Pelodiscus sinensis: one gene and its partners. The protein of the gene in region 1 interacts with the protein of each later gene in a biochemical or structural test. Links are inferred from orthologs where the notes say so. Each region holds a gene or a part of one and is shown in the gene's direction. Other genes may lie near its edges.

Region 1 (7,541 bases):
GGCAGGGGGTACAGAAATAACCACCCCTGATCCAGCAAAATCCCTCATCCAGGATTGGTCAGGTCCAGAGGGGGTCGGACCAGGGAGGTCCAAAGTGTAGGAGAAGCTGATCTCACAGTTACAGAGGTGAAGGCCTAATAACATACTAAAATATAACAAATTCCTGCATAGACCGGACTTCTAAGTGAAAAATAATCCTTGGCATCTTTTATATGTATAGAACTAACCTGGTGAGGTCTGAGTGTATATCTAAAAGTATATATAATGCAGTGCATCATTGCCACAGTACAAGAGAGTCATGACACACAACTGAACATGTTCATATTTCTTGAAACCACTTTAATCAGGGTCCTAGATGAAGGATTGCACTGAACAAATGAATCCTGGGTGCTGGGAAATTAATCTTTTACAGTGGTTGTGCCTATTGTTAGAATTCATTCAAAGGGGATTTAGGAACCAAAATACCATTCACTTTCATTTAGGTACATAAACATGCAGCTAGGTACCTAAATCCCAACGATTTCAAAGATGTATTGAGAATATTTTCTAAACTCGGTGTGTCATGGCTTATACATGTTTAAAATTGTCCAGAAAGAACTGGGCCATATCCTCACCACAACTCTGTAAGATTATGTTTTCATTTCCCTGGATGTACTTTCTCCTATTTTCAGCAATGAATAGGAAATAAAACTGCTTATTTTGATTTCGTAGGCTTCTCTGTACACTTAAATTATATAAAAGCAGCTGGAATCTGATCACCAGGAATCCTGCTACCCCACTCTTGCAATAAAACAACAGAAATCCTTGACACCTCAGTTCCAATGTGTGACAAATAAATTACAGCTGTGATGATCCTCTTTCCCCAGCAGCAGGAGGGAGGACCTAGAGTCCCCCACAACACACCCTCCCTTTCAAGTATAATTGTACAGCACAGGATGAGTGAGATGAAACACCTTTATGTAATGCAATTATTGTTAGGAGGAAGAGGGGAGGAAAAAGCTCATCTTGAGTGCAATGTTATTTAAGGGAAGAGATTTGTATTCTCAGTCAGGCTATGTCTACACTGGAAAGGTTTGGTGATGAAAGTGCTGTCGACATACAATAGTCGCCAAAAGTGAAAACCAGCCAAACCAGTTTTTCTGCCACCCATTGTAGACATTTCATGGCTACATTGTTAGCACCCTGTAGACAGAAATACAGAAATGAAAACTGATCAAACCTGTTTTTCTGCCTCCCTTTGTTGATATCTCATGACCACATAGTTAGCATCCTGTCAAGAGACAGAGCAAAGCAATATGGGTAAGCATCCCACAGTGCCCTGGCATCACCTTTAGTTACTAAGCACTGTGGGGATGTGCAACATAGCACAAGGCATAGAAAAATGTCCATCAGCCACCTCTTTGCTTCCTAGCTCTCTTTGGGTTTCCAGGTTACTTGAATTGCAATCCTTGCTGAAAACTCCAGCATCTGCTGTGAGAAATCATGAACCCCACAATTCTCTCCCATGTTGTGTTCAATGTGCTTAGTACATCATGCATTGTAGCACAGCTACTTATGCAATTAATAACAAAGCATGAAAACTTGGATGCATTTAACAATGGAGAAAGGGACACCAACGAATTGTCATTGCATTGGGCTATCACAGATTAGCTGTGCACCATAGACCATAGCTAGGAAAACTAGCACTGGGTTTTGGAATTGAATTGTCATGCAGGTGTGGAATGAAGACCAGTGGCTACAGAACTTTCAGATGTGTAAAGCGCCTTCCTGGAGCTGTGTGCTGAGCTGGTCCCCTGAACTGTGACACAAAAACGGAGAATGGGAGCTGGCCACTCCTGATTGCAATTGTTAAGTTGCAAATTAGTTTGGAGTGGGAAAGTCTACCATGGAGGCAGTACTTACATAAGTGCACAGGACAATACATCACATTTTGCTATATAGGGCTGTAACTCTGGGAAATGTAGATGACATAATGGCTGGGTTTGCAAGCATGGGCTTTGCAAACTGTCCAACCATCCCATTGTTCAACCAGAAGAGCGTCTTGAGTAATATCCACCCCCCGATTCCCTGAGAAGATACCATGAGGACCACTACATAATGAGCCAGACACAAGCAAATGGATTTTTCAAGTTCCCAAGGTTTGCAGGTGGAAATGGCACATCTGTTTACATGTCTGCAGAGCAGCAGAGTTCCAAGCACTGGCCAGAGTGGCTAACTGGGCAGTATGGGAAACATGTTGGAGGTCAATAAATTTACCAAAAAACCTTCTGTAGTACACACTATATGACTGTCAACAGTCATGGCAAGGGGAGAGACAAAAGTCTCTGGTGGAGATGGAAGTTTTTTGTTGCCAAAACGGGGCATTTGTCATGACTTTAGTCACATCACAATGTGAACGCTCTCTGGCTGCATCTAGACTGGCAAGTTTTTCCGAAAAAGTAGCTGCTTTTGCGGAAAAACTTGCCAGCTGTCTACACTGGCCGCTTGAATTTCCGCAAGAACACTGACGATCTCATGTAAGAAATCAGTGCCTCTTGCAGAAATACAATGCTGCTCCCGTTCAGGCAAAAGTCCTTTTGCACAAAAGCTTTTGTGCAAAAGGGCCAGTGTAGACAGCTCAGATTTGTTTTGCGCAAAAAAGCCCCGATTTTTTTTTGGCTACATGTTGTGCACTGTAATGAATTTATATGATGGTCTTTTAGCACACTTTCATGATACCCGCAATACATTTCATGTGTTGGAGGCCACTGCAAAAGATCTCACACCGTCCGACTACAATGAGACCATACCATGCAAACGAAGGAGAAATCAATTTTCTGATGAAGTTGGTATGGATAACACTGTTTGAGTGCCAGGGATAAATTTCATATACAGTGCTTTTATCCTATCCTGGATAAACATATTGTTGAGATGGTCAGACAACGAGCAGCGTATGCCACGTTGAATGAAAGGTTCAATTTTCTTGTGGATAGATCAATGTCCAGTGCTGAAGTTGCCTCTAGAGCAAGGGCATTAGTAGATATCTGTCCCTCAAATCTCAGACATGCATTTACTGATGAATTTCTATTGTTCTCACATATGTATGGTATGTAGAGAAGAAATCTGTGGCAGCAATGATCAGTGCACAAATGGCAGACAAGTTGGTAACAAGTTTTCCAATGTCAACATTGCTTTCAGAATGTATCTCGCCATCTTGGGAGCAAACTGTGAAGGGAGTACTCTTTTTCAAAGTTAAACTATATGAAGGACTGTCTTCAGTCTACTATGGGTCAGAAACAACTATCTCCCTTGCACTACTTTCAATTGAGAGTGAGCTTTTGAGAAAAATAACATTTGATTATGTAGTCTGTGATTTTGCTAACAGAAAGAGTCACAAAATAAATATTTAATTGTATGTTATACCTGCATGTTGTTTGTTGACTAAAGATTTAATAACACCTCCATTTAATTGATCTTCAACATTTGCACATGTATTCTAATAAAAATAGCAAATTATTAAGTGTGATTGAGCTGTTTTATTTTCTTATTTTTGAGTCAATCATGATTTTTTTTGGGGCCCTAAATTTTTTGTAGGCTATATGCACTGTGTTTACTGGATAATCTGGCTCTGACCTTAGGCACTTTGGAAAAACTACTGCTGTTCTTTCTTTTCTGGGATAATTTGGGAGCTGAGGGTATGTCTACACTACCCCGCTAGTTCGAACTAGCGGGGTAATGTAGGCATACCGCACTTGCAAATGAAGTCCGGGTTTTGAATTTCCCGGGCTTCATTTGCATAAGCGGGGAGCCACCGTTTTTAAAACCCCGCTGGTTCGAACCCCGTGCTGCGCGGCTACACGGGGCTCGAACTAGGTAGTTCGGACTAGGATTCCTATTCAGAACTACCTAGTTCAAGCCCCGTGTAGCTGCGCTGCACGGGGTTCGAACCAGCGGGGTTTTTAAAATGGCGGCTCCCCGCTTATGCAAATGAAGCCCGGGAAATTCAAATCCTGGGCTTCATTTGCAAGTGCGGTATGCATACATTACCCTCCTAGTTCGAACTAGGGGGGTAGTGTAGACATACCCTTAGAAAGGAAGATCAAGAGGATCTATCTTTCCATTTTACCCGGTGGGTATCTTGCCTAGCCTTAATGTGTGTGAACTTGAATAAAAATGTATCCACCTCCTAGGTTTTATTATATATCCAGCTTTATTGTTGTTAATGAGTCAAAGGGGAACTGGAGAAGCTAATGATGGCCTGCCCCATGCCAGGCCCCTGCAATCCCCAGCGGTGAAATACGATTCCCCCCAGGATCTGTGATTATGTCTACATGGACCAGGCACTCACTGGGGTAGATAAACTCGGGCTAAAAATAGCTTGTGGCCCAAGCTCCACTCCACTCCCATTAGCAGTCTCAATGCTGGGGGTGCTGTAGCCAGAGAGCTGTCCCGCCCCACGTCAGGCTGGATGTGGGGGGGGGGGGAGCGGCACTGGAGCCCAAAGGCTGGGGGTGGAGGGGTGTCTCTTTCTTCCCCCTGGCAAATCAGCCGAGAGGGCGGGGGAGGAGGGCGAGGGGCTGCTTCGCACGCTAGAAGCGCCTCACCATCGCTCCCCGCTCCCTTCTCTCCTCCCCTTCTCTCCGATCCCCGCCCGCGGAGCTGGGACCGGGCGCGTGAGCTGCCGGACTCGCTCCCTGCTTCTCTCCGCCCGCTTTGCCGGGGATGCGCTGAAAGGGGGCAGCTCCCGCGGGGCCTGTGCGACCCACCGCTCGCGTCCCGGCGCTCGCAGGCTCCCCACGGCTGCAGGCTGAAGTCCCGTCCGGCGGTAAGTAGCCTGGGCGGGGCTGCGCTGCCTGTGGCCGGGCTCTGGCTTTCCCCCCGCGGGGGGACCGGCCCAGGGTCCTCCCCGACGGGCGGAGCGGGGCAGGTGCCAGGGAGCTGGCTGAAGCACGGCAGCCGGGGCGCGCCTGGTGGAAGGGTTTCTGATTTGGGGGGGGGGGGGGGAGGAGGGACATATAGATCCAGCCTGCCGACGGACAGGAGGGTGGGTCTGTATGTGCCTATAGGGTCGTGATGTGCCTGTATGGTCCTGGCACCCCGCCCTGCCCTGCCTGAGACCGGGTCTATAGGTGCCTGTATGGTCCTAGCACCCCGCCCTGTCTATGAGACCGGGTCTATAGGTGCCTGTATGGTCCTAGCACCCCGCCCTGTCTATGAGACCGGTTCTATAGGTACCTGTATGGTCTTAGCACCCCGCCCTGTCTATGAGACCGGTTCTATAGGTGCCTGTATGGTCCTAGCACCCCGCCCTGTCTATGAGACCGGTTCTATAGGTGCCTGTATGGTCCTAGCACCCCGCCCTGTCTATGAGACCGGGTCTATAGGTGCCTGTATGGTCCTAGCACCCCGTCCTGCCCTGTCTATGAGACCGGTTCTATAGGTACCTGTATGGTCTTAGCACCCCGCCCTGTCTATGAGACCGGTTCTATAGGTGCCTGTATGGTCCTAGCACCCCGCCCTGTCTATGAGACCGGTTCTATAGGTGCCTGTATGGTCCTAGCACCCCGCCCTGTCTATGAGACCGGTTCTATAGGTGCCTGTATTGTCCTAGCACCCAGCCCTGTCTATGAGACCGGTTCTATAGGTGCCTGTATGGTCCTAGCACCCCGCCCTGTCCATGAGACAGGGTCTATAGGTGCCTGTATGCCTCTGCTACTCTGTCCCGTGTCCGTGACCGGGTCTGTTTGTGTCTCTATGGTCACGGCGCTCTGTCCGGTCGCTCTGGGCGGCGGGGTCCGTACGTGCCGGTGCCCCCAGGAGCAGTCCCGGGCGGGAGCTGCCCGCCCCCCCCCCCCCCCCCCGCTTGGTAGCGGGCAGGCTCAGGAGTGGCGCCGCCCCACCAGCAGGAGCCTCCCCACCCCCAGCAAGCCCCACAGAGCACCTCAAGCGAGGGGGGGGGGGCGGTTCTGGAGCTCCGAGTGCAGCTCCCTGTGCGGGAGACGGGGACGAGGGACTGGAGCCACTATTGTCTGAGCGGGCATTGCCCACGTGCGCAGAGATGTCTCATCCCCGCTCGGCTAATTTCCACTAGGACACTGTGTCCAGGTAGCTGCAGCCTTCTGGAGCAGGGCGGGACTCCTAAAACGGATTTGGAGCTTTCCCCTGCGGCTGAGGGTAGGTGTCAAGTGGATCCAGCCTCACCCTCGTAGCTCCAGAGAGATTGTGTGACGGCAGAAGGCTCGATCTCATGCATTTCACCCGAGATTCCTATTTAAAGCAGTGTGAAAGCTGTTCCCTTTCTGTGGGAGGGTGACAGATTTTGCAGTGTGTGCTAATGAGACAAATCTCGCTCCTGTTTATTTCCACATTTAAATGATCACAAGTAGGTAGTGGTTGCTGCCGCCCAGATGTTTGGCACCCAGTCAAAGGGTATGTCTACACTACAGCATTATTTTGAAATATCTACTTTCAAAATAGTTCATTCGAAATAGCTTATTTCGAAAGAACGCGTCTACACACAAAATGCAGGTCGCAATAGTGTTTTTCTATTTTGAAATAGCGCGTCCACACTGAGTGGTCGTTGAATCGCATTTAAGGCTGGTTGGAACCAGTTCTGGCAGGGCATCAGGTCAGAAGTTGCCTTGTGGCCAGAGCGGCCAGCAGGGCACCCTGGGAAGGGCTGGAGGTCCCCTTTTTTTCGAAATAAGCCTCTACACAGCGCTTATTTTTGAAATAGTAGTTTCAAAATTGGCACTATTCTTCGTGGAATGAGGGTTAACAATTTTGAAATAAGCCCTCTGCTATTTCAAATTAATTTCGCAGTAACGGAATGGCTCTGTAGATGCTAGGATAGTTATTTCGAAATAACGGCCGTTATTTTGAAATAACTTTGCTGTGTAGACATACCCTTAGTCAGCAGCATCAGAGGAATAAAGGAAGTGGTACAGGTACCAACAGAATTCTTATTCTATAGGTGGAGAAATAAAAGATCACCAAGAGTTAATTTGTTAAAGGAGCATTGCCTTTTTAAGGACTTAAATGAAGTTCCTAGTCCCACATCTGCCCCTGAAATCACCTACTAGTGATTGTGGCGTTACAATAATATTTCCCTTTAAAAAAGTATAAATGAGTTTTCCATCTCCACTGCTGCCAGAAATACCGCCACAAATAATAGGGTAAACTGTCTATACAAAGGAAAAAGAGAAACTGACTGTGGCAAAATGCTGTCAGATGCACTAAGCAAGTATATAGGGTACAAAGATTTTTTTCTTTAATCTTTTCCTGTTAATAGCTTCACAGATTCTAAGGCTGGAGGGGACCACTATGAATATAGGTGGATAATATAGCTATAACAGGGTTTATAATAGAGACTACTACAATAGTAGATAAGCAATTTTCAGATAAATGAGTGGTATTTTTATTTGTTTTTAAGTTGCTGGTGCATTTTGAACTAGATTCGTGGCTCTGAGTGAAAACATGTAGACCATCCAACTAAAGGGTTAAATCCTTTTGTCTGTAGAACAAAACTCACATTCATGTCTGTGGGAATTGTGTCTCATTCA
Region 2 (7,016 bases), on another chromosome or scaffold:
CAGCGAGCCTGTGGGCCGCTCTTTGGCCTCCCCTGCCTGGGCCAGCCAGGCCGTGGGCTGCTATTCAGTGCCACCTGCCTGGGCCAGCTGGGCCAGGCCACGGTCCCGTTCTTCAGCTTCCCTGCCCAGCTGGGCTGCTCTTTAGTCCTTCCCCCCTACGCCCCGTGCTGCTTGTCCACCCCAGCCCCCAGGCCAGCCATTTACGTGTGTTCCACGTGCTCCTAACAGGTAATGTCTCCCCTGCTTCTATTGGCTAGATCCCCAGCTGCAGGAAAAGCTGGGAAGTGTTCCTGACTCGTCCCCTAGCCAGGGGAGGGGAATCAGCTGCCACTTCTTCCTGCACTTGGAGCCTAGGGACCTTTTCTGGGACATTTGAGAGCTGTGCGGGGCACCGGGACAGGACATTAAAATTTGGGAGTGTCCCGGATTTTCCAGGCCATATGGTCAGTGTAACCATAGAGACTGAACCTGTACTTTATAACTTCACATACAATGATGATAGCACCTACAATTCAACAGGTTTTTAGTGTTCAGCAGATTCAGACTTCTAAAATAACACTTCACAAGTTATGTTATCATAATTATATGACAGTGGTGAATATGGGGGTTCCAGGGTGCTGCTTTGAGGTACAGAGTCACAAGCACATAAACATACAAGCCAGGCAAACCTGTTCAGATAAAGAAAAAATGCCCCAAACTTCAGCTCCAAATTCCAAAAAATTGAAAAAAAGTTTGTAAATTTTCAGATAAGGAACTTCCTTCCTTTTCCATGATACTAAACAGACTTCTAATTTTGATTAAATCCATCTCAATGTCTCAACAGATGGGAAAAACTCTGCTAATTGACTGAACCACCATGGCTGGCCGGGGCTCAGAACACTCATGTGCCATGGGTGATGGGTGGCTTCAGAGCTGGCAATTCCTGTGGGAAGTGCTGGGGTTCTCTCTCCTCGCACTATGGGGCTGAGACTTCCGTCATCCCCTTACTAACTGTGCCATTATTTTTAATAATAGACAGGTTGGAGGCTTCTATGAATTTTGTTTATTGCTTACAATCTTTTTGTGGCTTTTACTAACTAAACTGACAAAATCTTATAACCTTTTGAGATTTGATCCTTTTGAAAACAGATATCTTTTACTTGTTACTAAATCTAAACATGAACTCAACACCTTAAAGTTTAGCTAGTACATTTACCCACGGCTCTCTCAGCTAAAGAAACATTCCCAAATAATACTGTACAATTGCCTAGTACCAGGGCTTCACAGTTGTCACTTCTGAACTCCTTGGGAACAGTGGGGCAGAACTCAGATTATTCTGCTTCAAAACTTTCTTTCAGCTAAGCACACGTATCTATTAAGTGAAACACTTAAGTATTTGATTTTAAAGCAGGTACTTAAGTCCCACTGAATGTGGCTTAAGTACCACTGAAGTCAACCAGCTACGTTTTTGTTAGTCTCTAAGGTGCTACAAGACTATTAGTTATTTTTTAAGTTTTTCAGTTGCAGATTAACACGGCTATCCCTCTGAAACTAGTGAATTTCCATTAGCTGTTAATGGGGTCCAGCTTATGATATTTTAAAATTAATTCATTAGCATGAGTAGTTCTGATTCTGACCAGGAGCGGGCTGTAGTCTACAATATTTTACATTTATTTAGTATTTTTCACCAGAGGTGTACCAAGCAGTTTACAAAGTTTGGGAGAGTCATTTGTTCTTTAGAGTATAATTCAAACTTCCAGCATCAGATGGGGGGGAAATTAAAGTATTTGAGTTATAAGGGAAACAGACTGGGGAACTAAGCCCCTGACAGATCTAAGCGAGGTGCTCAAGGTCATACATCACCACATCAGTTATAAAAGTGAACAAAGCCCTGCTCTCTGAACTGTTTGCCTGTCAATCTAACTACTAAATAACATTGACTTCATTCCTATATGCTCACCTAAAAATATTTGAGATAAAAATCAATGTTTTTCCATAGTAAAACACAATAAACACATACGGCTTCTTAAATGTTTTCCTGTTGCATTTTTTCTATTATCCACATGGTGGAGCATTAGAAAACAAACATTTTGTTGCTGTGTGCTCTAGTTAAATGTGTGAAAGGGAGAGGCTCAAGAATTGACACACAAACCACTTATGTAATTATATGCTCTGAAAACTGATGTTGTAGGTTACATGACTGACAAGATCTATCACCAGTAAGGACAGAGAAAATATCCTCAAACTATAATAAAAAAATCTAAAATAAGTATGATCCACTGAGGAAATAGTGTAATTATACATATATGTATCACGTTTCATTCCAATGAGGCAACACAAAGCACTTTATTCATTTCAATATTTAAAATGTGCCTCTCTAGTATTCTTAGATTTACCAATTCACAGTCCTAAGACATGAATATATACACACAGCTATATAAACTACCAAAAGATCTAGTAAATCAGTTTCTAATCCACATGCCTAACTAGAATAACTAGAGAGACATGTGGTAGCTACTTAATAATGCAGGTAACACTGCACAACATATTTTCGACACCAACTGAAGAATATCCAACTGAAATTTTCCATTGTAGTCAAAGGCCTTCAAACTGAATTTTGCAGAACTGCAGTGATAGGCTAGTTACCATTAATTCCCCCCTCCCCCCCCCCCCCCAGCCCTTTGTGCTGATTACATTTTCCGCTAGGTGTCGCTCTGGGTTTCCTTTTGCTCTGCCCTGGGAAAGGAGAAACTGTTTTCTCCCATCTCAGACCTGCAGCAGATTAATACAACATTGTACCCAATGAGGTCAATCCAAGGCGTGATTATTAATTGGCAGGCTAGGTCCTTCACAGAGACTTGTTTCATCACTGATGAACACTGCTTCAGTAGCCAATGGACTAAATGGAGAACATTTCTCAGTAAGATATGGATCAAAGGCAACAAATGTGTCTCTTTCTGGTCCTGAGATATTCAGAAAAATGTTGAATTTTCCTTGAAAACGTTTGTTTCTTTTTGTGTGGTATCCCCCCTCCTTCAGTCAAATTTCATTTTATTCATGGTTTCAGCCAAAGCGATCTTCATTTTACATATGCCCCCCCTTTTTTTGGCTTAGGAAGGGACCTGATTTGGCTTTTTTCCCCTAAAGTGTGTGCATCCTTGTGACATTTTAATAAAACTGAACCCACTGTTATGTTCAAAGAAAAATCTGTTTTCCAAGTAGTTTGGTCTTGTCATAGGTGTTTCACATGGCATGCTTCCTAGCCCCAACTGGGTCCCATTCCCTCAAGAGGAAGAGTTGGGGAAGTGACAAGGGCTCTTGTCCTTGCCCTTGAGAGCAGAGGAGAGTGGGGGGGGGGGGGGTGTAAGGAGATGTGTCTGCAACTGGCTGGTTGGGGTGCAGCCGGGGCATGTGACCTTACCCCTGTGAGCATTGCCCTCACGACCTATTCAGACCAACAGGCGTTAGATGGGAAAAAATCAACCCGGGAACTGCCCTTGGGCGTGTTCAACCCGGTGGACGCAGTTTCTGTCCCTGCGCCCCTGCGGGACACACGTCCCCTACTGGTCTACTGACTCCGCGCTTCTCTGCTGGGCCGGGGATGCGCAACTTTATCAGTCCACCACGGAAGGCGCCTGAGCCACGGTAGAGGTACTACCCGGGCTCGCTTCCCCCGCTAGCCCTGCACCCGCCGGCTCCAGGCCCCGGGCTGCGGAGTCTGCATCGCTTGGGGAATCGCGCCCCCACCGGTCCTGGAGTGAGCCCCTGTCCCTGCCCCCAGTGCACGCTCCTGAGGGACGGGGCCCGCCCCCGCGGGAGAAGGGCGATCTGGGGCCGCTAGTGACACCCCGCGGCAGAGCCCTGCCAGCAGCGACCCGGCAGCCCCAGGCGGGCAGCTCCGCGCAGGGAGCCAGAGCGCGCGGGTACAGCAGATGACGCTGGGGCGGGCTAGAAGGCGGTGCCTTGTGACGTCGAGAGGTTCGGGGCGGGGCCGCCGCCTCCTGCGATATAAGGGGCCAGTCGGGCCGGCGCTCCGCGCAGTGGGGCTGATTGACCGACCGAGCGGAGATGGATTTACTGCGGACTATCGCTCACCAGCCGGGCGGCGGCAGCAGCAGCGGCGGCCCCAAGGGGGGCGAGCCGGCGCTGGGCAGGGCCTGCGGTGGGGAGGCCCGGCGCAAGAAAGCGCCGGAGGAGCAGCCTCAGCACCATCACTCGCAGGCTGCCCCCGAGGTCTCCCGGATTATCACCGACCCCGGCTCGGGCAAGCGCTACTGCCGCGGCAAGGTGCTCGGCAAGGTAAAGGACCCGGCGCCTCCTCCGCCGCCCAGGGGGCTCCTGGAAGCGACTCGCATGGCTCGCCCCGGGGAGCAGCCCGGGCTTCTCCCTGCTCCCTTCGCGCGGCATGGTCCTTCCTCCAGCCGGGCAGGAGTGTCCTTCCCCGCCCCTTGCGCCGGGGGCCGTTCGCGTGGCTACCTGCTGCATGTCCCTTCGGCAGCCCCAGGCCCTCCGGTGTGCCTGGCTGGACTCGCTCGCTGATGAGCGCGGTGGACCTGTGCCGCCCCGTCTGAACGTGGATCGGATCTCCTTGTCTGTGTAAACGCGCCGCGTGGAGCATACTGTGTTCACAGCCCTCTCTGCCCCACCACTGGATCGGCCCTTCCTCCCACCCTAAAAGTGTGTGTTCCCTCAGCCGTGTCTGTAAAAATGGTTTAGGTTTCTCTCCTCTCCCCCTTCCCCTACACAGCGAGGTGGGGTCTGCCTGCTACAGAAATGCCCAAGGCGGAGGCAATCACAAAGACTCTCTATTCTTTCGAGCCTCTTGAATCATGCACCCAGTAGATGACTGATTAAATGTGGAACCTTTCATACCATGTTTAATTGCCTTTTTTGGTATGTCTCTTTAGGGTGGATTTGCCAAATGTTATGAGATGACAGATTTAACGACCAACAAAGTCTATGCTGCAAAAATTATTCCTCACACCAGAGTGGCTAAACCTCATCAAAGGGAAAAGGTGTGTGCATGAGTGACTCTTTCTTAAAAAAATCTCTTTGTGTGCGGCATGGCCTTTCCCCTGTTTAGAAATGCCTGCTGGTGTTAGCAGACTCCTCAGCCAGAGCTATAAGACTAATATGTTTTTCTTATGTCTTGTTCTTTAGATTGATAAAGAGATTGAGCTTCACAGAATGCTTAATCACAGGCATGTTGTGCAGTTTTACCACTACTTTGAAGACAAAGAAAATATTTACATTCTTCTGGAGTACTGCAGTAGAAGGGTGAGCATCAACTGGGAGAAATCCAGTATTCACTTACCTGGGAACTGCAGCTAATGTAAATGTATAATATGTGAAAGGTATTTCTGATAGCTTTTTTTTTTTAGGTGGTCATTTCTCTATAAAGTGAAACCTACTTGAGACCTTTAATTCACCTCTTTGTGTTTTGTTTTTTGCAGTCTATGGCTCATATCTTGAAAGCAAGGAAGGTATTGACAGAACCAGAAGTGCGATACTACCTCAGGCAGATAGTGTCTGGACTAAAATATCTTCATGAACAGGAAATCTTGCACAGAGACCTTAAACTAGGTAAGTCATTTTTCTCATTGATTGCAAATTGCACTGTTTCCAGCACTGGGCACTTAGCATACTGACAGCTCAATTGATAGAATCCCTTCAGTCTTTTTCTACAATGGAAGCCTGGAGCACTTAAGTAATGATATTAAGTATTCATTTTAAAAAAAGCTTGGCTGTTTGCTGGCTTCTATTAGTGTGACTCAGCTCTAGTGGCTAATGCATCCCTATCTTGCAATGAAGGAATTCATTTTCCCTTTTTTTGTCTAGGTAATTTCTTCATTAATGAAGCCATGGAACTAAAAGTAGGAGACTTTGGTTTGGCAGCAAGGTTGGAACCACTGGAACACAGAAGGAGGTAAGAGTCTAAAGAATGTCTAAGGTACAGCATTAATTCTGAGCAAGACCTTAAAAATTAGAGGAACATTAAGACTAGCTTACTGCTGCAGGGGTCAGAACTTTTCTTCATATAAAAGTACTGTAATATGTGCAGGGTGGCTTTTGTCTCTGGACACTTAGAGGATGGCCAATGCCAGAGGCAGGATGTCTGACTAAGTGTTGCAGCAAGGTGTTCAGTATGGCATATCCTGGAATACTGAAGATACTAAATAGGAATGTTAACAGTGCAAACATGATTCACGCTGTTTCTTGAGGGTTTCTAATCTCCTGCCCAATTTCTTCTCTGGATTGATATCTGATTACTGATCTTTTTGGTTTGCAGAACAATCTGTGGCACACCAAATTACCTCTCTCCAGAAGTCCTGAACAAACAAGGACATGGCTGTGAATCTGACATATGGGCCTTAGGCTGTGTAATGTAAGTATCACTTCAAAGACTCTAAGCTATCTTGATAACCTTGAAATGGCTTTAGGGTTCAAAAGTGGAGGCAATGACTGGGTTAACACAATACCTGAAGTCTGGGTAACCTACCAACGTCATATATGAATTATCAGAGCAACCTTCTTGCCTATGAAATGGGTTAATTTTAATCTTTTTTTAAAAGATTTTGAAGCGTTGCATTTACTTAAGTACTGAGTGCCTCTTACTCCTCTTAAACAGGTACACAATGTTGTTAGGAAGACCTCCATTTGAGACTACGAACCTTAAAGAAACCTACAGATGTATAAGGGAAGCAAGATATACTCTGCCATCATCTCTGTTAGCACCTGCGAAGCACTTAATAGCTAGCATGTTGTCAAAGAATCCCGAGGACCGGCCCAGTTTAGATGATATAATTCGACATGACTTCTTTTTACAGGTTTGTACTGTGACTTTTTTGTCCTAAACATTCTATTATTCTAAGTGCAGCTCAGTCTTCAAATTATTGACTTATATTTAATTTCCACAGGGCTTTACACCAGATAGACTCTCTTCTAGCTGTTGTCACACTGTTCCTGACTTCCACTTGTCAAGTCCAGCTAAGAGTTTTTTCAAAAAGGCAGCTGCTGCTCTGTTTGGTGGTAAAAAG
Region 3 (6,855 bases), on another chromosome or scaffold:
CCACCGTGAACAGGGAAAATAACGTGTGACTAATATGTCAGCCAAAATACGTCAGTCAGAGTTGAAAGTATGTACCAATTAAGCAATAGCTATCAAGGACAGAGGAAAAATTCTTTATTGATAATAGACGGGAAGCTAATTTCTTTCCATATCATAATGAACAAATGATCTGAGAAACAAAGTTGATAATGTTTAATCTGTTGCTAAGAAGCAGGATTTTTGACCAGTACTGATTTTGCATAAAATTTCTAGTATCTATTTAAAAATTCTGATAATTCTCCAAAAGCAACAGATGAATTAATTAATGAATCCACTGAGTAAAACTTTCAGTTTTATAGAACTCTACGAAAGAGACTGATTATAGACAGGGATATGGGAGCATGTGCTGCCATAATTAAACTGGTCAAAGCAAATGAATATAAACTAAATAGAAGACAAAATGGAAAGAATAGGACTTTCCTGTATCTAAATGGCCTGATGAGACGGTTTTGCCACACAAGACACAATTCAAATCTAACTGCAATGCTGATGGGATTTTGTCTGTTGTAAATCTTGTCAGTTTCAAAGATTCTGTTAAAGGTATATATATATATCTGTGCACTACTTTTGCCCCCAAGCTTCAATGCCAATTTTTTTTATAGTTTTATAGCCATATTTGTCTATTATTAATACTCTAAATTCTCTCACTTGTTTGTGTGGATTTTCGTGCATAGTAACAAAGAAACTGACTCTGGGGAAGCCATCTGTATTCCTTGCTGTCATAAGTGCAAAGTAAACAAATGGAAAAAAAAATGTTTTTCCCCATGGTCTTTTCCAGTCATAGTCATTTTAAGGATTACTTAAAACAGGTAAAACATTGTCAGACACAAACATAACCTTTGCATGGACGATGTTCCTTGAAATAGCTTTATAAAGGAACTGGAGGAAGAGACAAACAAGATGTTAAATGTAAATTCCCAAAGTGACTTAGGCTACATCTAGACTACAGGCTTCTTTTAGAAGAAGCTTTTTTTGGAAGAGATCTTCCGAAAAAACTTCTTCACAAAGAGAGCGGCCACACTGCAAAAGTGCATTGAAAAAGCCATCTGCTTTTTCGAAAGAGAGCATCCACACTGAATGGAAGCTGTCTTGCATGTAAGCTGTGATTGCTATGGATGGAATGGCCACCAAGGCACCTGTGCTTTTCCCTTTTTCCTCTTCTTTCGAAAGAACTTGCTCTTCACTGTCCACACATGCCTTTTTGTGAAAGAGCTCTTTCGGAAAAAGGCTTTTTCCTTGTAGAATGAGGATTACCAATGCCAGAAAACCCCCTGGTTCTTTAGATTTTCTTGCAGAAGAACACAATTGCAGTGTGGACAGTCCTCAAGTTGTGTTAGAAAAACGGCCATTTTTCTAACACAACTTTGTAGTGTAGACGTATCTTTAGATTGGGAAGTTCTGAAAAATCAGTAAAGACACTGAATTATGGGTTAGAGACATAAGCAGGAAATAACAAAATGAATGTAATATGGATAAGGGCAACTAGCACGTATTGGGAAAAAGTAATCCTTAATAAAGATATTCAATAAGAGTAAAGAGAGATACTTGGAAAGCAGTAAAAATCGAAGCAGACCGCTGGTGATTATGCAGCTCTAAATCATATCAGTGTGCGTGTGCGCGTCCTTTCCTACTGAACTTTGTGATTCTTTGCTTAAACCTGGCCTTTCACAACCGAAGACTAAGCCTAGGTTATAAGAGTTCAATGGAGGTTGTTAGATGGAATCAGCTCAACTTGTCACAGATGTAACATGCCCAGATCACTACCTGATGAAGCACATTAGATGGAAATAGGCAAGGTGAGCCACCTTAAATCCCTATTGAGTACAGTTGTGCTAGTTCTTGCCTAATACACGTGGGTAGCTTTCAGGAACAGACGTTACATTTAAACTCAGATCCACATTGAACAGATTTCCTTCTAAAAAGAGCTGAATTAAAAAACGTTATTAACTTGAAGGGTCAACATTTGTCCAGAAGAGCAAAATGTTCAACAAATATAACTGGATAAAAGTGATACAAACAAGAATTGTACACAGTTATAAACTTGTCTAGTACTATTTTTGGAGCCTACATTAAATACATTAAATTTCTGGGGATCTCAGGTCCAAGTACATATCATAAAAACACATCACAGTTCTTCCCCTTGCTGGCAGACTCAGCAAAAAAGGCCTAGAAATGAATGGGGGACAGAAAATGAACAGCCCTTCAGATCAGAGCTGAAGCATTTTTGGGAAGAGGCATAAGGAAAGCCACTTCGCCTTTACTATGCCCCGGGGTAGAAGGAATAAAGCGTGACTGATTGACTACTTCTTTTTATAAACAGGTAAAAGAGAAATTAATTGCAAGACACAGGATCTATTTCCCTAGACTGTCACAAATACTCACAACACTTTTTTTCTGAGACTCGGAGATTTGAAGTTTTGTTTTCCTGGTTGTTGTTGTTTTGCTCTGGGACTGATGCTGTATATTGTGACATTGCTGCTAATCAACACACTTAGTCAGTAATGGACCTTCAGGCTCTTGGAAAAGAAAAGAAGAACCAAACATAAATCCTTATGAAATCCGGTAGACAGAGCGGAATAAGATGCATAGCAACTTATCTGTGCTGTTCCTGGTGGCAAGGAAAGGAAGCCATGCAAGTCTCAAAGCTGTAGTCCAAGGTCACCCTCAGGTGGTAACATATGTAGTTGGCACAAGAGAACACAAACCATAGCAAAACGAAGCACAGGAGGAAAACAATGCCGCCTTCACCTAGAACATTAATGAATCATCTCAGCCAAGGAATAAGGGGAATGTACCTGTATTTACCCTTGAGTGCGAATCACCACAAATGTAAAGAAACAGCCTTTCCCCAGACTCCCGAAGCGGTTCCGCAGCTGCGGGGGCACTTTTTGGAGATGGCCAAGCAGCCCCCCCAGCTGACCAGCAGGGATTATGGCTCAGATGGTTTGACAGCATCCTCTGAGCCAGGGGGCGGGTCCCAGCACTCACAAGCCCCGCTCCAGGATTTCAGCCATTCCTCAGGCACGGACCTGCAGAGCCCCCCAGACAGACCCGCTGGCAGCGCAGGGAAACTGAGGCACCAAACCCCGAGCCTTCAGCGCGAGCCGTACCAGGAAGGGGCGGGAAGCCAGCCTGCTGCTGCCCCTGTCAAGCTCTGCGAGCCTCGGGCACCGGCCGGGAGCCTCCCCCAAGGGCAAGGGCATGGACGCACCGAGGCTGGCGGGCCCCGCACTGCAGCAAGGCTCCCCCGCGCCGCCCTGGGAAGGTTCGTCCCGCACCTGCTGGCCGACAGGGAAGAGGGCGGGGCAAGGAACGAGATGCAAATGATATGCTAATAGAGCGCTCGCGTGACTAAGACGCCGCTTCGCTGGGAAAAGGGGGGGGGGGGTGGAGACCCGCGGAACCAGGCAGGAGGGGCCATGCTATGCAAATGAACACGCGCAATTCAAAGAAGCCTGGACACGTCAGCGCGCCCATAGGCCAGGTATGTAAATGAGATGCAAATGTGCCCATGGATAAATAAACTGTAGAAAAGCTCACTCCATTTTTTTTTCCGAACGAGCGAAAGAACAGGAATTTCTAGTATGCAAATAATGTGCAAATATGCAAATGAGTTTATAACAGAACTCCGCCCCCACCCGCTCCTATTCCACCTTGACCGCGGGAAGGCAAAATGACGTCTCTTCTCCCCCCTCCCACCCCGACTGTGAGACTCCCCTCGTGCGCGTGTGACGCCACCACGGGCGTCTCCACCCCAAGCCGCGGATTGGCCGCGCCGCCGGCGCGCGAGGGAAACATGCCCCCTCCGCCGGGGAGGAGGGGCCGGTCCCGGCGCGCGCAGCCAATAGCCGGCCGCGGCGCCCGTTGTCGCGAGACTTGTCGGGGCAGCCCTGGCAGCGGCCGCCGGCCCGGCCGGCCATTTTGCCCGGGCAGCAGCACAGGCCGGGCAGGCCCGGGCCGGCGGAGGATGCTGCGGCTGCGCTGCAAGGCCCGGAGCGGCTCCCACCCGCTGCCCGGCCTCACGGCGCATTCCCGCCTGCGGGAGCTGCAGGCCGCCCTGGCCGCCCTGACCGGGGTCCCCGCCCCGGCCCAGCGCCTCCTGCTCGGCTTCCCCCCGCGCAGCCTCGACCTGAGCGACGCGGAGCGGCGGCTGGGGGAGCTCGGCATCCACTCAGGTGAGGCGCGCGGGGAGCCCCCCCTTCCTGGGGGGCGGGGCGGTCCTGGCTGCCTCACGCTGGGGCGGGGGGTCAGTGGCAGCGTCTCTGCCCCTGGAGGCGGAACCCAGCGGTGGAGTGAGGGGGGGGGTCACACTGGCTCCGGCCCCCCCCCTCGTCCCCAGGCCGCGCTCTTCGCTCCAGCGAGGCTGTGGGGTGCCCCGCCGGGCACAGCTGGCCCGAGGGGTAGGAATCTGGGCTCCAGGTCCAGAGAGCGAGCAGAACCTTCCCTGTCTGCTTCACGCTTCGTCATTCTCCAACGGACGTGGTAGAGACTTCAGGGGCGAGCCGACTTAGTCAGTACAGGGAAAAAAACAAGCACTGTTTATAGACACACACAGGTAGATGGTATCGTGGGCACAGCCCACTTCTTCAGACTGTTGGGGGTAAGAGTACCAATAGAGAGGTAGCCCCGTTAAGTCTGATTTTGCAAAAACAAAAGGAAATACTGTGTAGCACTTTAGAGACTAACAAGATGGTGTAATAGGTGATGAGCTTTTGTGGGCCAGACCTGCTTCTTCAGATCATATTCTGGAAGAAAATTGGCATGACCAGGGCTTGACAAACAGCGGAAAAATCTATTTGCCAGACCCACATTGCGCATGCCCGTGTCACCGGTGAACGGGGTGACCGGCTGAAGTGGACTTGCCATGGGCAAGTAGATTCACTGATTTGTCAAGCCCTGGGCATATCCATATATACCAGAGGAATACAATGAAAAAAGTGAACACATTATTAAACGGTGTTAATAACGTGTTCACTTTTTTCATTGTATTCGTCTGGTATATATGGTCATGCCAATTTTCTTCCAGAATATGATCTGAGAGGGCAAGTGTAAGTTGAAGTTGTCCCTAGAAGTGATGCTCAGGGCTCACTGAAATGGATGGCTTAGCAAGCATGTCCTTTCTCTAGCTTATTTCATTCTCTCCCCAGATACTGTAGCCTTGTGAGCATGAGTCAACTGTAAAAGAACAGATTGCAAAAGATCTAGCTCTTGCTGGAGTAAAAGGCAGCAGGAGCTTAAAAACACAATATTCTATTATTATTTCATACATGCGCACACAAACAATATTATTCTACATCTTACTGCTCAAGACAGGATGAGCAACAGAATACCAGACTTAATTGAGCCTGCCTTTCAAGCAGATTATAATTAGCTTAACTGAAACTCATTTGGGATGCTTCACTTACCACCCTTTTTATTAAAGGATTGCAAAATAGTGTTGTCAGTGACTTAAACTTATCTAGCAGCTTGTAAATATAAACATCTCTAAATATCACTCCTCTTGTGGCCCAGATTTAGACAAACTTGAAAATATTACTTGTTTTGCCAATTTAGAGATTTCAGCACAAAGCTTGTGTCTCTCTACCAGCCATATACAGTGAGGTCCCAAAGCTACTGTTATTTTCTACATCTTGCTGTGGCTTATGTAATTTATCAAATGGGTAATGCTTTCTATTGTGCTTATCTAATCTTATCAGAGAACCGAGGCATGGTACACTGGGACAAAGATTTGCTTCACTGTGCAGTTTTTCCTTTGTTTGCAATGCATTATGGTGATTCAATGCTGGATTTTATCTCATGTCTCTTTTTATTTTTGACAGGTGATACTCTAATAGTTGAAGAGGACACAACCAAACCCAAGACTGAGTCACCTGTAGTTGCAAAAAGGAGTGTCCCTAATTTTGTCAGGGGGGCAGTGCCTGTACTTGGAAGGAGGGTTGTTCCAGCAGATAACTCTTGTCTCTTCACAAGCATATTCTATGTGGTAGAGGGGGGCATTTATGATCCAGCATGTGCTCCAGAGATGCGCAGTCTTATAGCTCAGATAGTGGCAAGTGATCCGGAGTCCTATTGTGAGGCAGTACTAGGGAAAACCAATCAAGAGTACTGTGAATGGATCAGAAGAGAAGATACATGGGGAGGAGCCATTGAAGTGTCCATTTTGTCTAAGTTTTATCAGTGTGAAATCTGTGTAGTGGATACACAGACAGTCCGAATTGATCGTTTTGGGGAAGATGCTGGCTATGCTAAGCGGGTCCTTCTGATTTATGATGGGATTCATTATGATCCCCTTGAACGTAAAATCCCGGACTCAGACGTCCCTCCCCTGACCATTTTCTCAACAAATGATGATATTGTTCTTGCACAAGCATTGGAATTAGCAGATGAAGCCAGACGAAAAAGGCAGTTTACTGATGTAAACCGCTTTACGCTGAGATGCATGGTGTGCCAGAAGGGATTAACTGGACAAGTGGAAGCCAGAGAACACGCAAAGGAGACTGGGCACACGAATTTTGGAGAAGTGTGACATCTGCTTGAGGATGGTTACATCACTACCTCACTGATCCAGAATAAGATTCTGGGTTTTCAGATAAGCTGTATGTAAGCATAAAAAGCTCCCTTCACAAAGCTTGAAAAGCCCTATTAACTTAATTATTGAGACACACAGGTTTGTTATGGTTAGTGTGCAGGTTTACAGATAGGTATACGGTAGTGATGCTCTCTTCCCAACTAGTTTGAAATAGGTAACTTATTGCATGCTGGATTGCATGCAGATTTTAAAGTAAGTGGCAGCTGTTTTTGTTGTATGTCAACAGC
Region 4 (7,117 bases), on another chromosome or scaffold:
GGTGGGGTGGAGACACCAAAACTATGTTGTTGTTTTTTTAAATTGGATCCACCTGGCTTTGCACAATTCTCAGCAAAAACAATCCTGGGATGCATGCTTCTCAGCAGAGAAGTAAAAGATCATAAGATATTGTCAGAGAATGCTATGCCCTCACTTTGCTGCCAACTGTTTCCATGTGTTCACTAAGGATGTAAAATTTTGATTATTTGGTAATTGAATAATCGATGCAATTTGTATCAACTACTCAATTAGTCAATAAGGGTGCTTACGCTTTTGAAGTGTAGCAACAGCCCTAGGGCTGTTGTTATACTTCAAAAGTGAAAGCACTATTGGGAGCACAGGGCCAGCATGGGACTCAACAGTCCCCAGCTGACCCTGGGCTCCACGTGGCGTTTCAAAGCGGCAGTGCCACATGGAGCCCAGGGTCAGCTGGAGACTCCTTCATTGACCCCTGGCTCCACACGGAGCTGCCGCTTTGAAGCACCCCTTCCCCTGTTCCCCCGCTGCCTCTTTGTGATAGAGGCAGCAAGGTGGGGAAGCAACTAGTCGACTAGCCTATCGACTGTCCGATAAGCATCATTTGACTAGTTGTTCACATCCCTAGTGTTCACACAATGCAATTTGAAACGAACAGGGGTTTTGTGCAAACATTATTGGTGCGACTTGCATTCTGAGAGTTACTCAATGTGCATCAAAAAGTTTTGGATTAACTCTCCCATATCCTACATGGTTTGAATAATGTAGTCTACTATATGAAAAATTTCAAGTAGGGAGAATACAGAATGGGTTTGAAAGACTAAAATCAGGGCTAATTTGAATCTGTCCTATTTTTTTCAATCTTTCAAAGTTAGGAGGGGAAAATGTCTTTAATTTTAGCTCACCTGTCTGAAATAAGTTAGGCTTTTAGAGGGGAATATTTTTCACCAAGAATTAAAGTTGAGTGGCAAACTTAAAACAAACAAACAATTAATTCCTGAATGCCCCTAAATAATATAAAAAGGAAGCATTCATAGTGCAAGTTAAAACTTACCCTTTGTTATTTCAAAAGATGTTAATGCAGTTTCTCTGCAATAACTAGTTCTTACTTAAAGTGACACCCATGAGAACACATGATTGTATCACACTCACCATAAGTCATAGATTACCATACTGGAAACTGGAGGCTGACTACAGATATAAAGTACTGTACATTCCTTTATTTACAGCTTGTAGAATTTTTGTAATTGCTTAATTTTGCAAGCTGTGGGATAGAAAATACAAATATTATTAAATTGCAAAATATTTTAGTTCTAGACTAAAACACCCGATATTTATTTGAAGGTCACAGTTAAAAACACAGGCCCTAATCCATTGTCCACTGAAGTTGATGGAATGATTCCTGTTCAGGCCCCTAGGATCTAGCCCTGCAACCATCCGCTGTCTACCTTCAGCTCCCACTCCCTATTATGGAAGCAAGACTGGTCTCTTACATACACACATGAAAGATACTCTTTACTCTTATCACATGCATTACCATGATCAGTCTGTCTGTAATACTAGAGCATTTTCATGTACTACTGAACTGATCTTGGGTAAACTATCTTTTAAAAAAAAGTATACTAGTGCCTATTTTTCAATAAATCTTGTCTGGAGATAAGATGGTAAGAGGGAAATATTCTACATTTCAATAAAGCCGTGTACCTGTTTGTATGCTATAAAAATACAGATGGGCTGTGTCTACACTGGGCCACTTATTCCGGAAAATCAGCCACTTTTCCGGAATAAGCTGCGAGCTGTCTACACTGGCCCTTGAATTTCCAGAATAGCAACGATGCTCTACTGTACAAAATCAGCCGCTATTCCGGAAAAACTATTCTGCTCCCGCTCGGGCATAAGTCCTTATTCCGGAACACTGTTCCGGAAAAGGGCCAGTGTAGACAGCCCAGTCGTCTTTTCCGGAAAAAAGCCACGATTGCGAAAATGGCGATCGGAGCTCTTTTCCAGAAAAGCGCGTCTACATTGGCCACAGATGCTTTTCCAGAAAAAGGGCTTTTCCGGAAAAGCAGCCTGCCAATGTAGACGCTCCTTTTCCGGAAAAACTGAAAACGGAATAGTATTCCATTTTAAGCAGTTCCGGAAATTCATGTCAGTGTAGACACAGCCCTGGTGTCCTGTGATTTTTTTAAAAAGAGTACTAACAGTACTGTGTAATATAAAGTACAGATATGGTATATCTTGCAATCCTTATAAGAACTGACCCTTGTATGCCAAGTTATTGCTTATATGGACATATAGGGCATGATCGGCTCTCCTCATTCAAGCAAAAACTCCCACCAAGAGTGCAGGAGCAAGTCCATAAACAGGAATATCAGCTCTACATGAGATATTATCACATGTAACACATAAAAATATACTTGGCAGGCTAAAAGGCTGCATTTAAATATAGAGTGTATTTATGGCCCCTAAATTACAAAATATACTGCTTTTCTTTTCCATAGACACTATGTTCTTCAACCAGGCATGAGCTATATGTGACATTGTGTTCTGAAGCTGACCTGTATTCTTTTAAAAACCATTTAATCACACACAGCTGACCAGAATTCCTTTAAAAAAACCACCTAATCAAATGCATTTGAAATACCCCAAAACAGTTATTTAATCTCTATGTAAGTATGAGTGTGAAATGGGCAGTCTCTGCATATGCCTTTTCCTAAAAACACTGCAATAGTGAAATCTTTCCAAAATAAAACCCTTCTCTTCCTCTCCCTGAATCAACACGCTCCTCAGATAGCGTTGAGACCATTTTAACATTTTAGGCATAGCACGCATGGCCTGAATAGAAAACCTAGAATTCATTGTAATCAACGTGCAAGCTTCTTTTCATACCATCTTAACAATATACATTAATTTTTTTAAATTAACACTTTTCATCCTTTGGGCAAGTGTACTGAATGAGCTGTGACATATATGAGAATACATTATGTTACAGGGACTAGATACCTCAAGTGAATTGATGGAACGCTATACTGTCTTTCATCTCCAAGTCACTGGTGCAAATGCAGATCAGATTAAAAGTGTTTCAAAGTAGTTATTATCTGATGGCTGTTCTATGGATGACATCGAATGGTGGTCTCAATTCCATTCCTAATGGGCCAAGAACTGTGATTCACTGGCTTCTCTGGAACTCTCATGAAGGCCAAGAAGTAAATGAACATGCAGACTGAAATACCACTCTGAATTCCTGGAGATGTTCAATCCAGAATGGGTTTAATAATATTAGTGATGCACTGGAGGAAACTTGTTACTGTTTGTGCTATATTTGTTCTGTAGATAACAGTTACCGGTAATGTCAAACCAGAATCTTTTTACATGCGTGAAATTCACTTTAATTTGCAGTATGCATCTTTGGGGCTTTTGCAGTGTTGCCTCATCTGAGACTGAAAATCCAAGTCCTGATTTATGTTTGAAATGTAAAACTGTATAAAATCTCTGGGGAGTCAGTGAGAAAACAGGATAAGTCTAAAAGGTAGACTAGAAAATGTGTGTGAACAGTGATTTAAAAAAATCCCAGACACTTCTGAGAAAACATGGCAGAAGGGAATAAAATTAAATTATGAAAAAGAGGGGAAATGCATTTAAAAGAACTTTCACTGCAGCTAAACTACCACTTAGCTTATGGGTAGTGTTTTCCTGTTACCTCACACTGAAATCACAATGGTTACCACTTGAGAACCTTGTAACAAACAATTACCGTAATGTTTAAATAGAGTGACCACCTGGCCCATGTTTGACTAAAATAGTCTACATTCAGAAGCAAAGAAACAGTTTGTAACTATGCTAACCCTCAATAACATGAAATAAAATATGATTTTCTAACAGAGGGAGTTAACATGACTTTAATGGAAACATATTCCATACATTGCAAGGGTGCCACCAACTCCATCTGTATCTACTGGAAGGAAAGCATGATGTGTGCTTTCCAGGTTTTATACTAAGCCAAAACCCACGGTTTTATTTTAAACAGATGTGAACGAATTAAACCCAACATTTTCAGGTATTTTTAGTGCAGTATGATGCCATGTGATTAATACCTTATAGCATGAGTTGATGTGTGTTTTCACCTTAAAGATAGTTTAAACCTCTGTTTAAAAAATTGTGCCTGATGTTGCCAGCAAATTAGAACACGGGGTCCTATGTTGCTACTTTTTGCACAAGTTGGGCCCGCTGCTGGAGTGGGCTGTGTGACAGCAGGAGCCCCGCAGGGAATACTGTGAGCACCAGGGTAGGCGCCGCCGGTCCTTCCTTGCTGCTGCAGGGATCCTGCCGAGCGGGATGGTGCTAGGAGCGGGCTTTTCCCCTCAGCCCTCACCTGGACCGAGTCTTCTCAAGGAGCGACGAGCCCCCACCCGCCAACGGTTCGACCTGCACATCCGCCCCGCGTGAAGAGCGTTTGTCCCCCGCGTGTGTAGGGGCGATTCCGGGGCTAAAAGGGGGGGTCACACCCCCCTGCAGCTGCAACCTCCTCCAGTCCCCTGCACGCCCCAGTGCCCAGGGCAGCGCGGCGGGGCGGGAGCAGGGGCGGGCTGTCACAGCGGGGCGAAGGAGAAAGTGCAAGAAACACGCGCGGGGGCGGGGGGAATCCAGCGGGAGGCGAGGGCCAGGACGGGGCTGCGGCGGGGCCCGGGGGTGGGGAGCTCCCGTCAGTCAGGCTTGCGGCGGGCAGCCTCCAGCGCCTCCGCCCTGCCCGCCTCCCCGCCCGGCGGCGCCTCGCTGCTCATCACGTGGCGGCTCCCCCCAGCCCCCCGAATTCCCGGCGTGGGGAATGGCCGCGGCGTGATTGTGACGCAAGCAGCGGGCGGCCGCGTCCCCGCCCGGCGGGCCGCGTTCTACCCGAGCGGGAGCAGCGGCAGCAGGAGCAGCGCGAGCCCCGGCCCCGCGCAGCAGCACGTTGGCCGGCGGAGCCGCGGGTGAGTGAGCCAAAGTTCCCTGGAGCCTGGGCCGGGCGCAGCCCGCGGGAGGGGAGCAGCCCAGCCTGCGGCTCCAAGTTTGCATGGGGGGGAGGAGCAGCACCCCCTTTCCCTGAGCACGAGGAGGGGGATCCCATCCCTTCCGGCAGCGCAGGCAGGGGACCGCGCGGCTGGTCTCGCGGAGAGGAGCGCCTCGCTGCGAAAGGGTTAGGACCCAGCCGGTGTCTATAGTAACGCTGCAGCCAAGAGGTGGTTTTAGCCGGGAGATGGTTGACACACAAGAGGCAGCAGCTTCCCCGCTACCTTGTGGGGCATGGACGCCCCCCTTTCTTGGCTGGCACCCTGGCTTGTATTGTCGCTGGCATCCTGGCTTTTAACGAGCCGCCTTGTGCAACACGGGCACCATCTCGTACAGGGGGACGTGAAGGGTTGGGTGAAACGAATGCACAGAAGGATACTGTGGGAAGAGTCTGTCCCCCCTACCCCACCTCTAAACCAGCATGCAGGACTTGGACATCCTCAGCCACCTCTCTTGCTGGGTTACAGTGTGCTTTGGTTTTGCTGTTTGCTGAAATGTGACTCCTTTGCTTTCCTTTGCTGATGACTTTCATCTGCAGGTGGTGAATGAGGTAAAGGGTTATTGTGGCTGTTGTCGAAATGCCAGGGTGTGTTTATTTTAAATACAAAACAAAACAATAAAAATGGGAGAAGAAAAATTAGGAGGCTGTTACTGGCAACCACACAATTTCCACAGGAAATGCTAGCATTCTTCGCTGAACTCTGCTTGCAGAGAAGAAATAGGCTTCAGAAATAACTATTGTTGACAATTTTCAGTGTTCCTTGAACAAAATCCTGCAATATAATTATCTGTTCCTGTTGTATTTTTGGCTTTCCTCTGAGTAGCTGGTGAAAAAAATGCCATTCCCGTTGTTTCCCTCTTAAAAACAAGTAACAGAGCCTTGTGCTTCTTATCAGTTTATGATTGACAGGTATCCCTCAAAGAAGAAAAGCACCCTCCTCTGTAAAAGAAAAGAATGACAGCAGATAAAAGAGCCTCTTCTCTCACCCTATGAAGTGGAGCAGCCCAGGGTTGTGTTTTCCAAATGAAATTATGGTTTTATCCGAGGGATTTAATTAGAGCTCAAGCATGTATATGAATGATGTCAGTTCTCCAAAGTGGCACTGTAAAAATCATTTTCTATGAAATTTGAAGCCAATACAAATTTATTTGTGTTCTGTTCTGAGCCATATATCCCTTGTGGGGAAATGGCTTTAAACACTATATATTCTACTGGTACATTTTGATAGTTAAAAGAAAATTGAAGAAAAGTTCACTGTTTTTATACCTTAAGGAAATGTTAGTGAAAATAGCTTATTCCTTTCTTTTTTAGTTCTAAGAACATTAATTACAGGTCTATCTAATGGGAGGACTACAGCACAGATTATAGTTAAATTAATCCAAGGCTAGTCTAATAACATAGGGTTGAATGTTACAAACTGTTTACTTAAGCTGATATCAATGGGAGTCCTTGTGTGAGTAAAAAAAACTTGTATGAGTAAGGGCTGCAGGGTCAGACTCTTAGAATATAAATTAGCTCTGAAATATACAAATGCTTGATCTAAATCAGTGTTGCCAGCTCATGATATTTGATGTTTGATTTACATCCTTAGCGCATGGAGACAATTGATTGTGAATTTTTTTTTTTAAGAAAGGGCTTGACTAGAGAGAGGGTAATGCACAGTATGAAAGAGCCTTCAGTGTATACCAGCAGGGTATACACAGACTAATTTATGTACATGACATTAGTACACTATAGAAATCACACACTTAATAATGCCTATCACCCACCATGTAAATAAGCCCTAAATTTCTAGTGTTATGGTTGCAGAGAAAAGCTTTGAAATATGATAGCAGTATACCCTAAAGATTAAAAAACAAACAAACAAAAAAAACAACACCCCAAACTAGAAGGTAAATAAAAACAACCCACATTTTATTAGTCTTTAAAATCTCCTGATTTTTAAGCCTTGATTTTTTTAAGGGCCTGATTCGTGACTTTTGAACAATGAGGTTGGCAGTACTGTGTCTTGCTTCCTTCGAAGTCAGTGGGAACAGGTTCACATCCTCCAATTAGAAAATAAAAAAATTCCACTTGGTGTAGTTAGTCATG

The links.
Region 2: of the proteins of SNCA (region 1) and PLK2, one has a biochemical effect on the other in vitro, tested with the Homo sapiens proteins (2 studies listed by BioGRID). The link is inferred for Pelodiscus sinensis from reciprocal best matches to the Homo sapiens genes SNCA and PLK2.
Region 3: the proteins of SNCA (region 1) and YOD1 form a complex in vitro, tested with the Homo sapiens proteins (2 studies listed by BioGRID, with this or other methods). The link is inferred for Pelodiscus sinensis from reciprocal best matches to the Homo sapiens genes SNCA and YOD1.
Region 4: the proteins of SNCA (region 1) and SNCAIP form a complex in vitro, tested with the Homo sapiens proteins (3 studies listed by BioGRID and IntAct, with this or other methods). The link is inferred for Pelodiscus sinensis from reciprocal best matches to the Homo sapiens genes SNCA and SNCAIP.

Annotation. Positions count from the first base shown.
Region 1 is NC_134715.1:16,040,182-16,047,722, reverse strand, and holds the start of SNCA (alpha-synuclein), read left to right. Parts: upstream 1-4,538; 5' UTR 4,539-4,804; intron 4,805-7,541. UniProt on the Homo sapiens protein: Neuronal protein that plays several roles in synaptic activity such as regulation of synaptic vesicle trafficking and subsequent neurotransmitter release.
Region 2 is NC_134716.1:95,058,592-95,065,607, forward strand, and holds the start of PLK2 (serine/threonine-protein kinase PLK2), read left to right. Parts: upstream 1-4,004; 5' UTR 4,005-4,047; coding exon 4,048-4,278; intron 4,279-4,886; coding exon 4,887-4,994; intron 4,995-5,139; coding exon 5,140-5,256; intron 5,257-5,432; coding exon 5,433-5,562; intron 5,563-5,817; coding exon 5,818-5,905; intron 5,906-6,268; coding exon 6,269-6,364; intron 6,365-6,607; coding exon 6,608-6,806; intron 6,807-6,896; coding exon 6,897-7,016.
Region 3 is NC_134737.1:5,465,607-5,472,461, forward strand, and holds the start of YOD1 (ubiquitin thioesterase OTU1), read left to right. Parts: upstream 1-3,843; 5' UTR 3,844-4,006; coding exon 4,007-4,214; intron 4,215-5,858; coding exon 5,859-6,565; 3' UTR 6,566-6,855. Other genes in the region: PFKFB2 (6-phosphofructo-2-kinase/fructose-2,6-bisphosphatase 2), read right to left, coding at 2,422-2,512. UniProt on the Homo sapiens protein: Hydrolase that can remove conjugated ubiquitin from proteins and participates in endoplasmic reticulum-associated degradation (ERAD) for misfolded lumenal proteins.
Region 4 is NC_134716.1:55,040,526-55,047,642, reverse strand, and holds the start of SNCAIP (synphilin-1), read left to right. Parts: upstream 1-4,105; 5' UTR 4,106-4,946; intron 4,947-7,117. UniProt on the Homo sapiens protein: Isoform 2 inhibits the ubiquitin ligase activity of SIAH1 and inhibits proteasomal degradation of target proteins. Isoform 2 inhibits autoubiquitination and proteasomal degradation of SIAH1, and thereby increases cellular levels of SIAH.